Linked DNA regions of Coturnix japonica. The protein of the gene in region 1 purifies or fractionates together with the protein of each later gene. This does not show direct contact. Links are inferred from orthologs where the notes say so. Each region holds a gene or a part of one and is shown in the gene's direction. Other genes may lie near its edges. The genes, in order: ITSN1 and EPS15.

Region 1 (8,446 bases):
ATTATTGTATTGTTGTATCTCACCCTGAAGCCATACCTGACCATCTTGGAGCGCTTTAAAAGTCATCACAGTATCTGCTTTTTGTAATAAAACTTTGTATACGTTCTGAAAATGAGATAATATTGATCAAGTCTCTCTCAAGACTTTACAGAGAGAATCGCTGCCTACTAGTGTATGTTATTTTTAAGGTAACACGTTAAGCCTCTCTGCTGAAAGCAGAATATTTGTGATGGACAGAGGATACTTTGATGGCCTCCCTATCATGGTGAAGAGACTAGAGGCAGACAGATCACAACTTGATCTTTAAAATGTGTGCTGAGTTTTCAGTTCAGAAGATAAAAAAATAATAAGCACCTCTTGGTTTATAAACTGGAAAGTGTTGCATTTCGTCTTAAAAATCTATTTTGGGGGAAAGACAGTTCTGACAAGTTCAGAAGGGCAAGAGTTGTGTTTGGCTGTCTTAAAACTATTGCCTGAAGGGAGATGGCTGCTTTTGTCTTTTGTATGTGATGTCTAACCCTGGAACATGAGTAATATTACCTGAGTGGCCAACTGAATGCTTGCTGACAAGGCAATGCTATGTTTTAGTGAGTGAAACTCATACACAATTCAGGAATGCTGTTCTTGTTAAGAAAGCTCATCATTTGGAGAGGTCATTTGTGTAACTACTGCTCATCCAGGACAAGTCATCATCAACTCAGCTTGGCTCACTGAGGTGCACGTGCGTGGCAGAGAAACTCAAAAGGAGGCAAAAATGCTTTTGGCTTTTCTCTAATCCAGGACATGCCTTGTGCAACTGATGGGATGCCTTAAATTTCATATAACATTTTTATGACTTGCACTGCTTGTCATGCGCAAGGCAGAGACATTGCTCATCATCCCCGTGACACAAATCAAAACTAATGTCAGGACTCAAAACTGTATTTGATCTCTTTCAGGGGAACCTCGATTGTTTTACTTTATACAGTGCGTTGTTCTTCTTCTTCTACTTTTCGCAGCAACTCGTATTTAATTCTGTTACAAACTGCTTGGGACCACGCAAGTTTCTGCACAGTGGGAAGCTCTATAAAGCCAAGAGTAACAAGGAACTGTATGGCTTTCTGTTCAACGATTTCCTCCTCTTGACTCAGATCATAAAACCTCTTGGCTCTTCTGGCACAGACAAAGTCTTCAGCCCCAAGTCTAATCTGCAATACAAAATGTACAAAACTGTAAGTACCATTCTTAAATGGTGGCTTGGATAGTTACAAACTAACAAAAGTTCTGGAGGCAGCACCCACATACTGTACGTGTGGGTCTTTATATAGAAGAATGTTGAAAGCTTTGGCATATGCTGGGGATTCCAGGGACCAATGCTGAGCAAGCTGGTTGTCTGCTAGGTAAGGGAAGATGCCTTTGAAATGTGGCCAAAACGATTTCTTTGACAGAGTTTGCATAACAAGGGATGATGCAGAGAGCAGTATTTGCTGCTCCCTGTGAGAAGGGAGAGATTTCTATACCTCATAACGCTTTTCAATTGCTTTAGGAGAAATGTTTCCAGAGTGTGGATGCACCTTAATAAGAAGAAAATACTTAAAAATGACGTTTTAAGACAGATGGGAGGCCAGCTGAAGGGGAGAAACTGTTGTGGGCACAAATGAAATCTGTTCTGAATTGCTGTATCTTGCATGCCTATGTTTGGATAGTGTGCAATGGAATACTAGCTTTGCTTAATGTTTTCCAGCCCATTTTTCTAAATGAAGTACTAGTAAAATTACCCACAGACCCTTCTGGAGATGAGCCCATTTTCCATATCTCCCACATTGATAGAGTCTATACACTCCGGGCTGAAAGCATTAATGAAAGGTAAGTACCCGCACAGGCCACGTTAGTACTAATTTTTAAAGGCCTGATTAAAATGTGTTTGATGTACATATGCATAGCAGTGTCCAAGCAGTTAATATTACATCTCCTTGTGCTTGAGAATAAAGTGATAATCAGTACATGAAAAGAATGGAGAAATAATGATACTTCCTGAATTCCAGTAATACCAGTGGTGAGATCACTAGGATGGCTGATGATTCCATTTTGTGGTAGTGTAAAGAAGCTACAAGATTCAGTCCTATCTTACTCTTTTAATGTCCATCAGTTTTCTGTGCCAATGCAAGCATCTGCATGGCTGTATTTTGAATGAGATTCAGGAATGACTCAGATTAAAACATGAAGCAAAAACCTGCTGAGCAAAACTCAGTTTTAACCTGATTCTGTTTATAATGAGTAAATGAGAAAAGTGACAACTTCAGCTAGTGACTTGTGTCTCTGGAAAGGTTACAAAGACAGGATTGCACTGAGTTATGTTGAAAATATTGGTCTGCAGACTTCTAAGTTGTTGAAAAATAACTTTTGTTAAAAATCAGAAGCTGAAAAAACAGCAAAAAATCCCAAACAAACCAACCCCAAACACATTGTATAGATAGTATTATGCCAGCTTGAGAATGTGTTACCTGGAAAAATCCCAATGCATAAAACATCTTTGCTCCCTGCCTGTTCATAGTTCTTTTGAGCTTCTGTTATGTGATGGGATCTGCTAGGCTGTACTGATTACATTTCTACGGGTGCTATGAATTCCAGCAAGATCTCTTCCAAGCAGACAGCTTCAGCGTAGCAGAGCCTGAGGCAGGGTGGGGGCCTTAGGCTGCAAGGGGTTGGGAAGGAGGGCCAGCTTTACTGTTGCCTGCAGTACAGTAGGGAGTAAGAACAGAAATGGTATTTTGCAACCTTTTTCTCCTTTCCTTCTGAAGGACTGCGTGGGTTCAGAAAATTAAAGCTGCTTCGGAACTTTACATAGAGACTGAAAAGAAGAAGAGGGAAAAGGCCTACTTAGGTATGTCATGGGGTACTGGGGTTCTCATCGTTCATGGGGAAGTCCCTGGGCTGGAAAAGACATTAAGGACTTCTGTCTCTCCTCTTCTGTTTCACCACAGTTCGCTCACAAAGAGCAACAGGCATTGGGAGGTTGATGGTGAATATTGTTGAAGGCATTGAACTAAAACCTTGCAGATCCCATGGTAAGTGCCTTCTGATTTTCATAAGTGTGCTCTATGAAGGAGACATTCCTATGTGACTAACTTAGACATTCTGTCAACATATTTTTGTTTAAAAAAGCTGTTTTAATGAATTTAAAATGCACAAAGGTGATTCTGTGCTGTTCAGTAGCAGTCATGCAGTTGTCTTGCGCTTTATCATTTGGCTCATACAAACAGCTTTACTACATAAACTATTTCAAAAGAGATCATCAGCCACAAAATCCTTAATGAAGAGTGGCAAGTGCTTGGCACCTTGCAGAACTGTGCCCCTGGTTATTAAAATGACAGCAAGGCCACTGTCTTCACCTGGTCTGTTGGCTGCAAGAAGAAGATGGTATTCAGACACGCACTTGAAAACATGATTACATTTTTCTGTTTGTTTCCTACTTCCCAGGAAAGAGTAATCCATACTGTGAGGTGACGATGGGCTCTCAGTGCCACATCACCAAGACAATGCAGGACACCCTCAATCCGAAGTGGAACTCCAACTGCCAGTTCTTTATCAAAGACCTTGAGCAGGACGTGCTCTGCATCACGGTGTTTGAGAGGGACCAGTTCTCCCCAGATGGTAAGCAGGGGGCAGCCACCTTTCCAAGGGTGTTTTCAGGCCTCCCATTTTGAAGAGGTGCACTCCCACTGAGGTAAATACTGAACCCCTGTGCGTGTTTGACACACTCTCACTCCCCAGTGTAGTCATGCTTGTGTTGGAGCTAAAAGAATTGCACTCTCTCTGGGTTTTTGGGCTTCCTTTCTTGTGCAGTTTGACAGTAAGTGAAGTGCAGTTTGTAATTCTGCCAAGTCTTTACATGTAACTCTGGATGCTTTTTGCAAATGGACAAATTAATGGAGGAGGAAAAGAAAAGTTGTCAGGTTCCTGTAACAGGCAGTAGTAGAAATGAACTCAGAATTCCCAACCCACTTTAATTTCATAACTTGCAGTAGACATACGGAGAACTGAGGAATGTCTTTTGGAGTAACTTTCCCTCAGGAAGGATTTGGGCAGGACTGTCATTCATGTGGCCAGCACCATTTGCCCCAATGACCTTGTCGCTGTTGTAATCTATCCCTTGCTCTGTCATCTCCTGAGAGCTACTCGTTCAGTTCAAGCTGGGCAGTGGCCTTTGGCCTTTTTTCTAACATATCATAGAATAAATAAGTTACTTAAGCAAAGCAGCTGTGAAGTACATGGTGCATTTTTTCTGCCTTTGGCATCATTTTTGAATGCTGCCACTGGTCCAGATGAAAATCTCTTCTGTGCAGACAGGCAGCGTTTGTCCTTCAAATGCAAAAATGTGATTGGACTGAGGGCTTGTTTTCTCCTTTTGTCGTGTGTAGATGGAAGCTTAGCTCCTTCTACAATTTAGCGTTTTATTGCAGCAGAAAAGAGTTGTTTCATTTCTAAGCATGCCGTCTTTTTGCATTTCAGACTTTCTGGGCAGAACAGAGATCCGTGTGGCAGACATTAAGAAGGATCAGGGTTCAAAGGGACCAGTTACAAAGTGTCTCCTTCTCCACGAAGTCCCAACAGGAGAGATAGTCGTCCGACTAGACCTGCAATTGTTTGATGAGCCTTAGAAGGAAAGGGACCAATGTTTTTTTTTTTGTTTTGGTCTGAGTTCACTGCAATGTAGGTATCTGCAGAAGCTGTCACAAAACCCTGATCGGTTTGGTATGAAACTACTGCTTGCCCTTCACACACAAGAGGGTTATCAAAGCAAACAGGAGCATCTTTGTGCCTTGATAATTCTCACTGAAAAACGAGTCCCAGTTTAGTGAGGAAGTCTCCCTCAGTTTCTCCATGTGGAACCTGATGATGGTTTCCTGGGTTTATGAAGTAACCTGGTTGTTTGTTGTGCTGCTGGCACACCGCACAGGTCCCCGTGCTTGCTCCAGTTACTCTACTCGTTAATTGACATGAAGAAGGCAGTGTTGGTATGTTTGGTGGCTGTCTGCAGGGTTTTCCCCCATAAGGAATTCTGTGCCTATTGCTCAGCAAAGTGGCGTGTAAATGTTTTGTGAATGGAACAAACAGTTATGCAGTAAGAAGATCTCTGGAGATCTTCATGGCGATACTGAAAATATTTAGAAAAGAAATAGTCTATATCTATAAACAGAGAAGATTCTATTAACATACCACTTCATGACTCACATTGCCCCCAAAATAAATTCCGTGCAGGCCTTGTGCGCAGAGATGAGTTGCACTCCAGAAGAATCCACCCACTCAGTACCTTTGGAAGAAGACTTTGAACAGTGAGTGAAGGACGGAACGATAGAGCCCTGCTGAATGTTGTGCTGTACCACTTCAATACTGTTTTACTACTGCCGCTCAGTTGTGTGAGTGCAGGTGGATGTTCCGTCACCTGCAGTGAGGAAGGAAAAAAAATGATGGCTCTAGCTCAGGAAGCTCATTTCTGCCCCATAGACTAGTTTGCAAAGCAATCGGTGGTGACCAGTTATTAAACTGGACTGTTCCTGACTGCGTTCGACATCATGTTGCTGAATTCAGGGCTGTAGCGCTGTCACTCACAGCAGTGTTTGTTGCAAACTGGGCTGGTCACAAAGTTGGTGGCAAAGATGGTAGACGTGAGCAGAACGGAGTGTTTGTGATCGTGTGATGGAGTGGGTAAACCCAGGGTGATGTCATTTCATCTTGGGGAACGCAAAAGGTTTTATGTGTGTTTAACTCAACACATAGCACACATACAGGCCAATGTCCAGCAAACTTCCCACGTTCGGCAAAGCGTCTGTCTCTAAGTGCACACATAGGTAGTGTTTCCCTTACGTACACAACTAAGTGCTTTGCTAGGACTGGATGTGACAGAGCCCTAAGAGTAAAATTCATCTTTGTTCTGCCTGGAATCATTTTGTTCATTACCTATCATGCATACACTGGTATTTTTGTAATGACTTTATTCTGAATGGGAGGTGTCAGCCTGTTCCATTAGCATGTGAATGTTCTCGTGGAGCCTGTTGTTAGGTTTTGATGTTCCTTGCATGTCCTTTCAGTACCGGTTTCCACCTTCCCTGTATAGATGGTGTTCTCTAGCACTACAATTCTTATTGATTTCCATTAGGAAATTAGGATATATTCATAACGAATAGGTAGATACAGTATGGTAGTAAGTGTAAACTGTGCTGGGAAGTGTCTGTGTATTATAATTTCCTACGAGACCACTGTAATGTTTCAAGCAATGGGAAAAAAAAAAAAAGTATGTTGGAGGGACGACAAAGTTTACATTTCATACTTTTCAGAATCGCTTTATTATTTATTTATTGAAGATGATAGTGTAGAATTTTGTATCAGAAATGACAGACATACTTATGTATTTTTTGAAACAGAAAAAACAGAGAATACACGCTTCAGTTACAAACTTTTGACTGATCACATTTGAGAGGGAGTGCAACTTCCTGGGCACGCATTTGGTTACCACTAACTGGCAGAAAACACAATCAAGAGAACTTTAAGTTTCTATTTTTCAATGTTGTTAAGAAAATCGTTTCGATTAAAATATGTAAATAGTACTAAACCCATGTTTTCCTAATTCCATATCAATACATTTTATTAAATATAACGTATATGAAGATACACATTGTTGTGGTAGGATTAAAAACAAAGTGATAAAATCTATTAATGGGTAACATTAAATGTCATTGTCTAACCTTTTATTGCTGTCCTAATTTTACTCAGTAGCTGGACATACAGTGAACATTCCTCTCAGTGTTGAGAAAGTCGGATCATGTTTATCGTATCATTTTCCATAGCATGAATTTCAGCAACAAATAAGTAGACTAATAGGAACAAAATACCATGGATGTTGTGCAGAGATCCAGTCCAGGTTTCCAGAAGAAGCCACAAGTTGCAGCATTTTCCTCTGCTATTCAATTGCTGTTGGAAGTGATTGTCAGGTAGATGTGGGGGCTCCTCTTGGACTGTGACCCCATCATGGGTACATCAGATTGGATTTTTTTCATGCGGTAACATGAATGAGCACCTTCCCAACCACCATTGCTTGTTGTTTCTAATTTGTCCTCAGTGCACAGAAATGTTTAGTTCCCGTATCATGCATGTGTGATGATAATGAAGGGGTAGGATTCAGCTCATGGATTTCTAAGTTGCAATCTGTTCTTGTAATTTCCCTTGTCCATCCAGGACTTCATGTGTTATGGAGTTGTGGGACTGGCTGGGTCTCTTCTTCCAGGTAACAGTGATGCAACAAGAGGGAATGGCCTGAAGTTGCACCAGGGGAGGTTCAGGTTGGTTATTTGGAACAATTTCTTCTCAGTAAGAGCAGTGCTGCAGTGGCACAGGCTGCCCAGGGGGGTGGTGCAGTCACCATCCCTGGAGGTGTTCAAGAGCCGTGTGGATGTGGCACTGAGGGACGTGGGCAGTGGGCATGGTGGGGGTGGGCTGATGGTTGGACTGGGTGATCTGAGAGGTCTTTTCCAACCTTAAATGATATTATGGTTCTAAGCCCAGGGCATGTTCAGCTCTCCTCTGTTAGGGCTGCACTACACACATTCCCAGCAGGGCCTCACTGTGAGCTCCACCTTCCAACCCTGTCATCCCACAGGCTATGATCCATTGCAGTTAATTACCTTTGTGTCCCAGCTAGAACATAGGCATACTAGAAGCTGACTGGATGCTCATGTGCTATGCAGGAGATGCAGGGATGAGTTCAAAGAGCCTGCCTTACAAAGTCAATTCACATTCTATAAGGACCGATAGATCGCAGTGCCTGAAGAGAGCATCAAACAAGTCAAGGTTAAGATAAATGAGTTTATGTTCTTTGCAGATCTATTTTCTTCCCTGTCTTTCTGAAAGTGCGTGGTCATTGGGTTATAGCCACCGGACTCTCCAGAATGGTATTTACCAGGGTAATAGTAAGTCATATACCTGCAAGTTATAATGATTTGGAAGCACTGTAAAATAAAAACCATGAAGCTGGTCTTGGCTTTGGAAATACTATTTCCCCAAGATCAGTGCTGTAGGGAGGCGGTCTGTAAGGCCCTGAGAGGCTGTGTGCAGTTGGTGGTCTGACATGGGCACCTTAAGGAACGGAGCACATCGCTGGGCTGACCCTAAGGAATGTGACCCATACATTACAGAGCTTTTTCTAGATGCACTTAATTATTATATATCTTCTCAACATGAGTTTTTATGAAGGAATTTTTTAAATGCTCATTCTAGAATATTTTTACCCTTTAGAAAACAAAAAACCAACACTTTTTGTTACGTGTGAGTTTGGGTTTGGGGGGAAGAACATTGTGGATAGCAACGTTTTTGTAATATTATTAAATACATTTTCCAGATGAAGATGTGATGAGTCCAGACCTTCACCGCAACAGCGGGGTCTGCTTTCGTACTGCTCCGTTTGCACTGT
Region 2 (8,446 bases), on another chromosome or scaffold:
ACAGAATAGCAGTGGCAGATAAAGAATATCTTTACATCCTGTTGTTTGGTTATTGTTTTTTTCTGATGTTCTTATGGTAATATTTCTAAAGATGGTTTGCACAAACTGTGTTGTAACCTGCCACTTTTGACCAAGCTAATGTGGTGGCATCACATGGAGGGGTTCATGATACCAGGATTATATCCACTGACATAAATTATAATCTCACAAAGGCTTGTGAACAGTTCTACATGGGGGAAGAGATAGAAAATTGTTTTCCCCTGTGAAATAATGTATGTGCTGTACAAATAGAGTCTAAGGGGAAGAGATGGAAAAAGAGTTGTAGGGAAAACATAACAAACTGATATTTTCTAATGCTTATTAAAGTGTTATCAGCACTGATTAAAGGCTGTTTTTTTCATAAGAGATAATGAGTAGAATAGCAAAGATTGAGAAACTGAGGCATTTTTTAATTTATTCTGTGATGGAGTTTTCATTTTCTTATAAATAACAGAGATAAGAAACTCAGATACAAGATGTTCTTGTCAGAAGATAATTCAGTTTTACAGAGTTGATGTATCACTAAAACACTAATTTTTGACCACACAAGTATCATTTCAAAGCATCCCCTTGTGCTGTCACCAAGCTGCTCATCAAGACCCAAGTGCTGGTTGGAGCACAGAGTGCCTCAGCCAGTAGGCAGTGCCTCAAGTTATGGGGTTATTTCCACATTCCCAAGGCTCAAATCCTCCATCACGCACTTTACATGTGTATGTGTATGGATTCTTAGTGTGTCTGCAGAGACTCTGAAATAAATGGTGATTGTTCTGGCTTTCCCAACTATGATTGGGAAAGAATACCTAGAATAAAATTCCCTAGAGTTCTACTGACATGAAGTCAATAGGTCTGTTTCCAGTTTTAAGTGGAATATTGAAGGTTTTTTTTGAACAAACCTGTGGAACTCCTGGAAAAAAAAAAAAAAAAAAAAAGCACAATTTATGTTTGTATCTATGGAGGTAAGGAAATCTATTTTGGAGATATCAGGTATAGTCAGGTCTCCTCAGTGCTTCTCTATGGCTGTGGCTAGTGCAGACATTGGGAGTCAACAGAAACAGTAGCAAGACTGGAAGTCATTTATATTTAGCTTGTTTCTGTGTGTGACTGAAAGGAGCTGTTATTTCCATCCCTCAGCCTGGTTGTTATGTTGAGAGTCAGATGGTATTTGTATTCAAAGTCATGAAAAAACAGAATGGATCAGGATGCTTTCCCAGTTGTCCAAGTCACTTGATGCTGTCAGAGCTTTTTGCATATACTGATTTATTTTCCATAAATCAGAAGCAATCAACAATTCATCTAGTCTGGCTGCTGTAGGTTAGGCATAAAATTTAAGCTCTTAATCCTGAAGTAGTTGAATGGATTTTGATTTTTTCTTTGAATAAAATAATTGGGTTTTTTATTAGGTGGTCTTCTGATTGTCCTGAGGTTCCCCATTTTGCTGAGCATCTGACTGCTGCGCCATATACATTTGTTTCCATCTCTTTTTGTCCTGATTAACTGGAGGTGTTAACAGATATGGATTTACCGTCTCCCCTTGTTTAAAAAAAGATAGTAATTTAAAGAAATCACCTAAAAATGACAACAGACTCTTGCCTTAGAACAGTACAGAAATACATGATCTTATCAGAATTTAATGTCAGCTTTTTTTCTGACTGTCCTAAATTTTCTTTAATCTCTCTTTCTTTATTTATTTTTGAATATGATTCTTCATTCAATTGCTTTCTTTTTTTTTTTTTTTTTTTTTTTTTTAGAAAGACTGCAGTCTTCTCTCATCAAATGCTTCTGTAATAATCCTTTTTTGATCCCTCTGTATTACTTCTTCTTGACTTTGACAGTTTTTGCTAGATTCTTGTCTTGGATGTTGTTTTTTTTCCCAGTGTTATCTCTGCAGTTTGAAGTACAACCATTATTGTTGCTCAGAAATGAACTAATGAACTAATTACCATATGATGCTACTTTCTGTATCTTATATTTTATTCACAGCTGTTCCCTAGAACAAAACATGCCATGTTTTCATATATGGAACATACATTTCTTACCAGGACTGTTACTTGGAAACAAAAAAGAGTTGGGGTGATTTCAGCAAAAATTGGAGGCAGGGGAAATCATTTGGATTAATAAGGCACTGATTTTTTTCTTCACCTTGCTACTAAAATGAGTTTGTATTGTTGGTGTGTGTTTCTGAGGGGAAAGGAACATAATAAAGAATTCAGTTACTGAGGAGCTCAATAAAACTTATTGCTAAAATATAGAAGAGAGAATGTAGCAGCCTAAACAAAGGATGACTTCTGGATTCAGAAATGAAGCTTGCCTCCCACTGATTATGTAGTTGTAATCTCTGATTAGTGGTATGATCTTCAGTGTTTCAATGAAATTTTAATGTATTGGGTTGTTTTTGTGGTTTTTTTTTTTTTTTAATGAAAGAAAAAGCAAATAACTATTTTTCTCTTAGAATTAAAGCTTGTGTGATGCACGTGAAATATTAGCCTTTGAAAGGTAACACGTTGATACTCTGAAATCTGACTGATCATCACCACAATTTATACTATGAAAGTTAATGATCAGAGGAGGAGCAGTGAACAAAGGCAAAGCTAATCTGTTCTATCACAGGATCTACAAGATGAAGTAAAACGGGAGAGCAGTAATCTGCAAAAGCTGCAAGCTCAGAAACAGGAAGCACAGGAAATACTCAATGATCTTGATGAGCAGAAGGCCAAGTTGGAAGAGCAACTCAATGATATCAGGCAGAAATGTGCAGAGGAGGCCCACTTGGTAAGGTCTAGTTAGTGGCTTCAGCCCTTAAGGAGAACTGCTGCATTTTGAATATTGCATGCTTGCAGTGTGTTGTGGTGGTTGGGAAAGGAGAAAAATCTTTCAAGATTAAACAGGCTGAGTTTCAGGATTTTGTGACCAGCAGAGACATCAGTTATTTCACTGACTTCTTTATGTCTCAGTGCGCCAACAACTGCAATAAGATATGTTTGCACACATGTAAGGTTGTGTACAAACAAATGACATAAATGTGTAACACAATGTATATGTAACTAGAAACACTAATTACCAGGACTGATTTCTTGGGATTTAAAAAAAAAAAAATTCTAACATAAAATTTCAGAGTTGGTTTTGTTGTGGTTTTTATATATATATATATATCTTTACTATTAGTAATATTTGTATTGGTCAGGAAAACAGCTTAATCTCATTGGGACAAATAGCAAATTAATCTTCTGGTAGAGTATGGTCTGAAATCTCTGCTATAGCTGGTCATAAATCTGGTCATAAATCCTAGCCTTTGCTGGATATATTTGGAGGTGTGGGATATTTTTGGTGTGGTGATGTTGGTTGTTGTTGTTGTTGTTTTCCTAATTTGGCTTTGGAATCCTTGTTTATGCTTTAGATTGCCATGCTGAAAGCTGAAATAACAAGCCAGGAGACAAAGATATCAGCATATGAAGATGAACTGACCAAAGCTCAAGAGGAGCTGAGTCGTCTGCAGCAAGAAACTGCAGAGCTTGAGCATTGCATAGAGTCTGGGAAAGCACAGCTGGGACCTCTTCAGCAACATCTGCAAGATTCACAACAGGAAATCAATTCGGTAAGGCACTGTGAAAAGGGAGGGGGAAAAAAAAAAGGAAAAATAATAATTTAAAATACAAAAAACAGGAAAAAAATGCCAGTGATCACCAGCAGTATGGCCAGCTTCCTTGGCACAGCAGATTCTCAGGTCTACCATATCTCTTCTAGATTAGTTTTGTAGTTCTCTATGAAATTCTATAGTTATATTGTACTTGATTTTGCATGAGAATTACAGCTATATACCTTCCATCTCACATTTAAGAAGGTTAAGTTGTATTCTAGTTTCCATGTACTACTGCGCTGATACACATGCATTATTTCCATTTACAGGTGCAGACAAAACTTCTTGAGCTGAAAGAACTGGAAAGTAACCAATTTAGTTGGCACTCTCAGCCACAGAATGTACTTGTTAATGGAACTGCGGATCATTCTAGTCTCAGCAACAGCAGCAGCGAAACTGCTAACCTTAATGAGAATGCTGAAAGGGAAAGCATAGCTGAAGATGAACAAATAAACAACGTATCCCCAGTGAGTAAAGTGTTTTGCCTGTGTAATTGTGATGCAATGCAGCTGTGAAGTTGGAATAAATTAAGAATGTATTAAGATTGATTGTATTTTGTTTTTAAGCATTTGCAAAGTGAGCTTTCAGGATGTTATTCTGAGGGAGTATTCCAGAGATCTGGAAGTTGATAAGAAAGAAACAGAAAAAGAGGCAACAGAATTCTTTTTGTGCATTTGTTTCCAAAGCTAAATGTCATAAATTGAAGAGCAAAATTAATGTTAAATATGAGCAGCTGTTTCCAATTGGTGCAGCAGAAATAGAATGAAGAATAGTACAGAAATCTGAATGCTGTCTTGCTATTTAAATGTCTATTTTCTTTGTCTCAATTTATCAAACACTTCAGTGTTTTCTAAGTATGAACCTCTTGAGGTATCCTTTAGTATATCCTTACAACAGTTTGGTACTTAAAATGGAGTAAGCAGTGTAGTGCTCTATAAAATGGAGTAAGCAGTGTAGTGTTCTGTTTACTTACATTGAATTGCTTTTATCCTTACGTAGCCAAGAAATAGTCCTGAAACAACAACTGCTGCTGCAGAAGAAGACAAAGAGACTCCAGCTGGAACTGTTACAAGAAAAGTGAGTTTGTTCAAATTTAAGGGAGGAAGAAATGAATGTAAAAACAAAAAAACCCACAAAATAACTAGGGCATGATGCCACAAATGCATTCATCTTATATAGCAGGTTGATTTTTACTGGGGAATGCTGTGGCTCTCTGTTGAGTCTTGATGAATTCAAACTCATTTCAGCTTTAAGAAGTTAATAAATGATAAGAGAATGAGATAAATGTCTCAGACTTCACACCTTTCTTTGCTTCTTTTGGGTTCTTCAGGAGGATCCATTTGATGCTGAATCTCACCCATTGCCTGATATAGTTTCTGAAGCAAGCTTAGAGTTCTTCCAGTCCGACCCTTTTGTTGGCAGTAAGTACACTCTTCTCTCCAAAAATGTGACAGATTAAACTTCTAGTCTTTATGAAATAAATGTGAAAGTACTTGAGTGACAAGAGCCAACAGCAGTACAGAAATATAAATGAGAGTTCTACGGTGTATCTCTTTGCTTTACCTGTGTGGTTTTTTTTCTCTGAGTGCCTCTTTTATTTTTTTCCCCTCTGGAGGTCTCATTTTGGTATTAAAGGTGTGGGCATACTTGTGATACATGTGGTGTCAGTGATCTAATTTGCAGCACAGAGTCACAAACAGGTCATCTGAGGGTTCAGTGAACTGTGGTGTGGGGAGAGTGTGGGTGGCTGAGAGTGAATGGCTGTGGCCTACTTATGGCAAGTTAGGCACTCAAAAAAAGATAATGTGGAACTGTACCATCTGTTCATCTGTGGAAGTGCTATGCTTTATTTTAAGAACTTGCCGCTCAAGAATTCTGTTGCTCCAGTTTTTTTTCTTATAACATTGGAAGGAGTGATCTGTCTGCATAGAGACACTTGGAATATGGGAAGAGTTAATTTGGATTAACTGTTGAAGCAGATGTATGCAGCTAAATAAGCTAAATTTATTTTGCATCACTTGGCTTCTAAAAGATTGCCAATGAAGATTTAGGCTCTAGTTCACCTTTTTCAATTAAAAAGTTGTTCTAAAACTTCAAAGATTTTATTGTGGTTTTTTTTTTTTTTGTTCATATTGAAGTAGTCCTGCTTATGGGACATAACAGCCTTCCTTTCAGAGGAGAAAGATATGTCAGTTAATCAGTCTTCTGGATTTTGTGTGCTCAGTTTGTTTAGAGGTAGATATCTAGAGCTGTAAGACCTTATATATGTGAACTGAGGGAATATACTGATGCATATATATATACTTGCATCCAGTATAGAAATGAACACTTGACGGCTACTATCCACAGTGTCTCTGAGAATTAACAAAAGTGGCACTAAGTTTCCATCAGTAGTTAGCCTGTGTTACTGTGGTGTAAATACTGCACAATGTGGGTCTTCACTGAGAACAGCCAACAGAGATGCCTTTTTCAGATGACTGTTATTGTGCGCTTCGTGCTGCTAATAAATTATGTGATGAATATTTGCTTTGTTATCAGCTCTTGTTCCACTAAAAATAATAAAACAGTTCCTCTGAGTGAGGGCAATTCTAGCTCTAGAAACTTGTTTCTGTGGAAAAGACTTCAACTCAGTACACAAGCTTTATGCTTTAAAATCCACAAGTCACTTTTTCCTTTCAACAGGTGATCCCTTCAAAGATGACCCTTTTGGGAAAATTGGTGAGCAACTTTGTAACTTCTAATGCTTCTTTTCTTGTTCTTTTTCTTTTTTTTTTTCTTTTTTGTAAATGATTCCTAGTAGAACAGTACTTTGGAGGAAAAGTGTCACCGCTTACAGTGTGAAAAAGGTGGTAGTGATTTGAAAAGTCACTGTAGGATGGATATATAGCAGTAGCAGCTGCCCACTTGTGTTAAACCTTTTCAGAGAAGCCTGTTCCCTAGGAACTTCTCTCTTGCTTTTGAAAGTATTCTTAGTGAGGATTTAAATATATGGAGGTGGTAAATGGAAGGCCTCAAATTCAAAGAATGTTTTGTTTGCAGAGGAATAGGACTGTTCTCTTAAAGACTCTTAATTCAGCAACTTTCTGTAGCACAAATATTGAAGAAGATGGGAAGATCTGTTGAGACTGTTTCTTTAAGCAATGTTGTTGCATTACTTGCTCAGTTTTACCAGTGGCAAAAAGGAAATGGGGAGTGGGAAGGCTACGGCAAAACAGCATGGTGCACCCTGTGTCAAATAAGGAAACATCAGTTATGTTGAGGGAGTGAAGGAGAAGAAAATATGAAAGTTCTGAAAATGATTAGTTTATATAAAAATGTTTCTTTGTAAGGGAGCTGAGTTAGAGAAGCTATATATTTACATGGTTCTGCTCCACTATTGGCACAGTATAGTTTTTGTTGTGTGCAGAAAATGTCAGTTTGTCTGATGTTTGAACCATAGAATTCAGATTATTCACAGATCAAGGATTTTTGAAGCATCAAATCTGTCTTTAAATGTGTCACTTTCTCACAGAATGAAAGAAGCAATGTAACATTTCATTTTTAAGATGCAAAGTTAAATAAAGCAAGTAGAATTGTTAATGAGATGTTTCCTTTTTTTAGATCCCTTTGGTGGTGATCCCTTCAAAGGCTCAGATCCTTTTGCAGCTGACTGTTTTTTCAAACAGTCCTCCACTGATCCTTTTGTGACTGCAGGCACTGATCCATTTAGTGCAGCAAGCAACAGTAATAATACCACAGTAAGCTGATCTCTTACTACTATATAGAATGTGGACAAAATTAACCACCTGGTGCATTTGGACCTACCTTAAAATGCTGATACTCAGAAATCATGTAGATAAAACGTATTTCTCACTACATGTCTCTCTCTTGTTTCTTTCTGTTGCTTTTTAGAAGTAGCCATGCATAAAATAGATATAAAAACATTTTTTAAAGTATTTCAGTGTGCAGTTCCACAGATTGGAATGTTTTGGGGCTAATGAGTTAAGCTCTACTAATAGCTGTTAGAACTTAATCTTTGCTTTCTTAATCTCACCAGGTTCTATTGAGGCACTTCACTTTTTTGCCTCCAAAACTTATAGGATCAATAAGTATGTTTTATCTTACTTAAAATCTGATACAATAGCAAGTTTTTTCTAAAAAAACAAGCTGTTTTACAGATATGTTGCTTGGTTTTCATTGTCTTTTTTAATGAGTCACTGAAAGCCAGTCATAATGTGGAGACCATTACTAAATGGCATATTCTTTCAAAGATACCTAGGCCTAACTTCTAGCTGTTAGTATTGAACTGAATTGTTACTGATCAGTCACCAGGCTACAATAAGGTAGAGCTGGACATAAAGCCTTCTTTGATGTAGAATGTAACCATAATGAAAATAAGGTAATATTGAGGGCTGATAGACACTTATTCTAAGAAGCTGATATTGTCTTAAGTTTGTCGTTGTCTTTTTGCCATATCCTCTCTTCAGTGGTGCTAATCGTACCTCAGTTCTAGTTTTGTGTGTGTATAAAATCTGATTGAAAATACAAGTGGACTATTAATGCACATAGGAAGCAAGTTGAGTGGCTGTGGAGTGTGCCAGAGGTGGACCTGCAAAAATGAGATAGTGAGGAATTACTCCACCTAACAGGGGTGTTCTTTATCTTCTGCATGATATGTGTGTTCTGCAGATGTTGAGGTCGTATTACCAAACCTCGAGCCTTAAAAATTGGTTTTCTGCCATCTTCAGTACTTACCCTGTACACCATCCTTCATCAAATCACAATATTCTAATA

The links.
Region 2: the proteins of ITSN1 (region 1) and EPS15 purify together in Homo sapiens (co-immunoprecipitation; 3 studies listed by BioGRID and IntAct, with this or other methods). This does not show direct contact. The link is inferred for Coturnix japonica from reciprocal best matches to the Homo sapiens genes ITSN1 and EPS15.

What each region holds. Positions count from the first base shown.
Region 1 is NC_029516.1:94,961,180-94,969,625, forward strand, and holds the end of ITSN1 (intersectin-1), read left to right. Parts: intron 1-998; coding exon 999-1,211; intron 1,212-1,723; coding exon 1,724-1,845; intron 1,846-2,780; coding exon 2,781-2,863; intron 2,864-2,963; coding exon 2,964-3,047; intron 3,048-3,459; coding exon 3,460-3,633; intron 3,634-4,491; coding exon 4,492-4,640; 3' UTR 4,641-6,731; downstream 6,732-8,446. UniProt on the Homo sapiens protein: Adapter protein that provides a link between the endocytic membrane traffic and the actin assembly machinery. Acts as a guanine nucleotide exchange factor (GEF) for CDC42, and thereby stimulates actin nucleation mediated by WASL and the ARP2/3 complex.
Region 2 is NC_029523.1:21,487,789-21,496,234, reverse strand, and holds part of EPS15 (epidermal growth factor receptor substrate 15), read left to right. Parts: intron 1-2,646; coding exon 2,647-2,808; intron 2,809-3,433; coding exon 3,434-3,631; intron 3,632-3,942; coding exon 3,943-4,140; intron 4,141-4,672; coding exon 4,673-4,750; intron 4,751-5,003; coding exon 5,004-5,094; intron 5,095-6,355; coding exon 6,356-6,391; intron 6,392-7,273; coding exon 7,274-7,410; intron 7,411-8,446. UniProt on the Homo sapiens protein: Involved in cell growth regulation. May be involved in the regulation of mitogenic signals and control of cell proliferation. Involved in the internalization of ligand-inducible receptors of the receptor tyrosine kinase (RTK) type, in particular EGFR.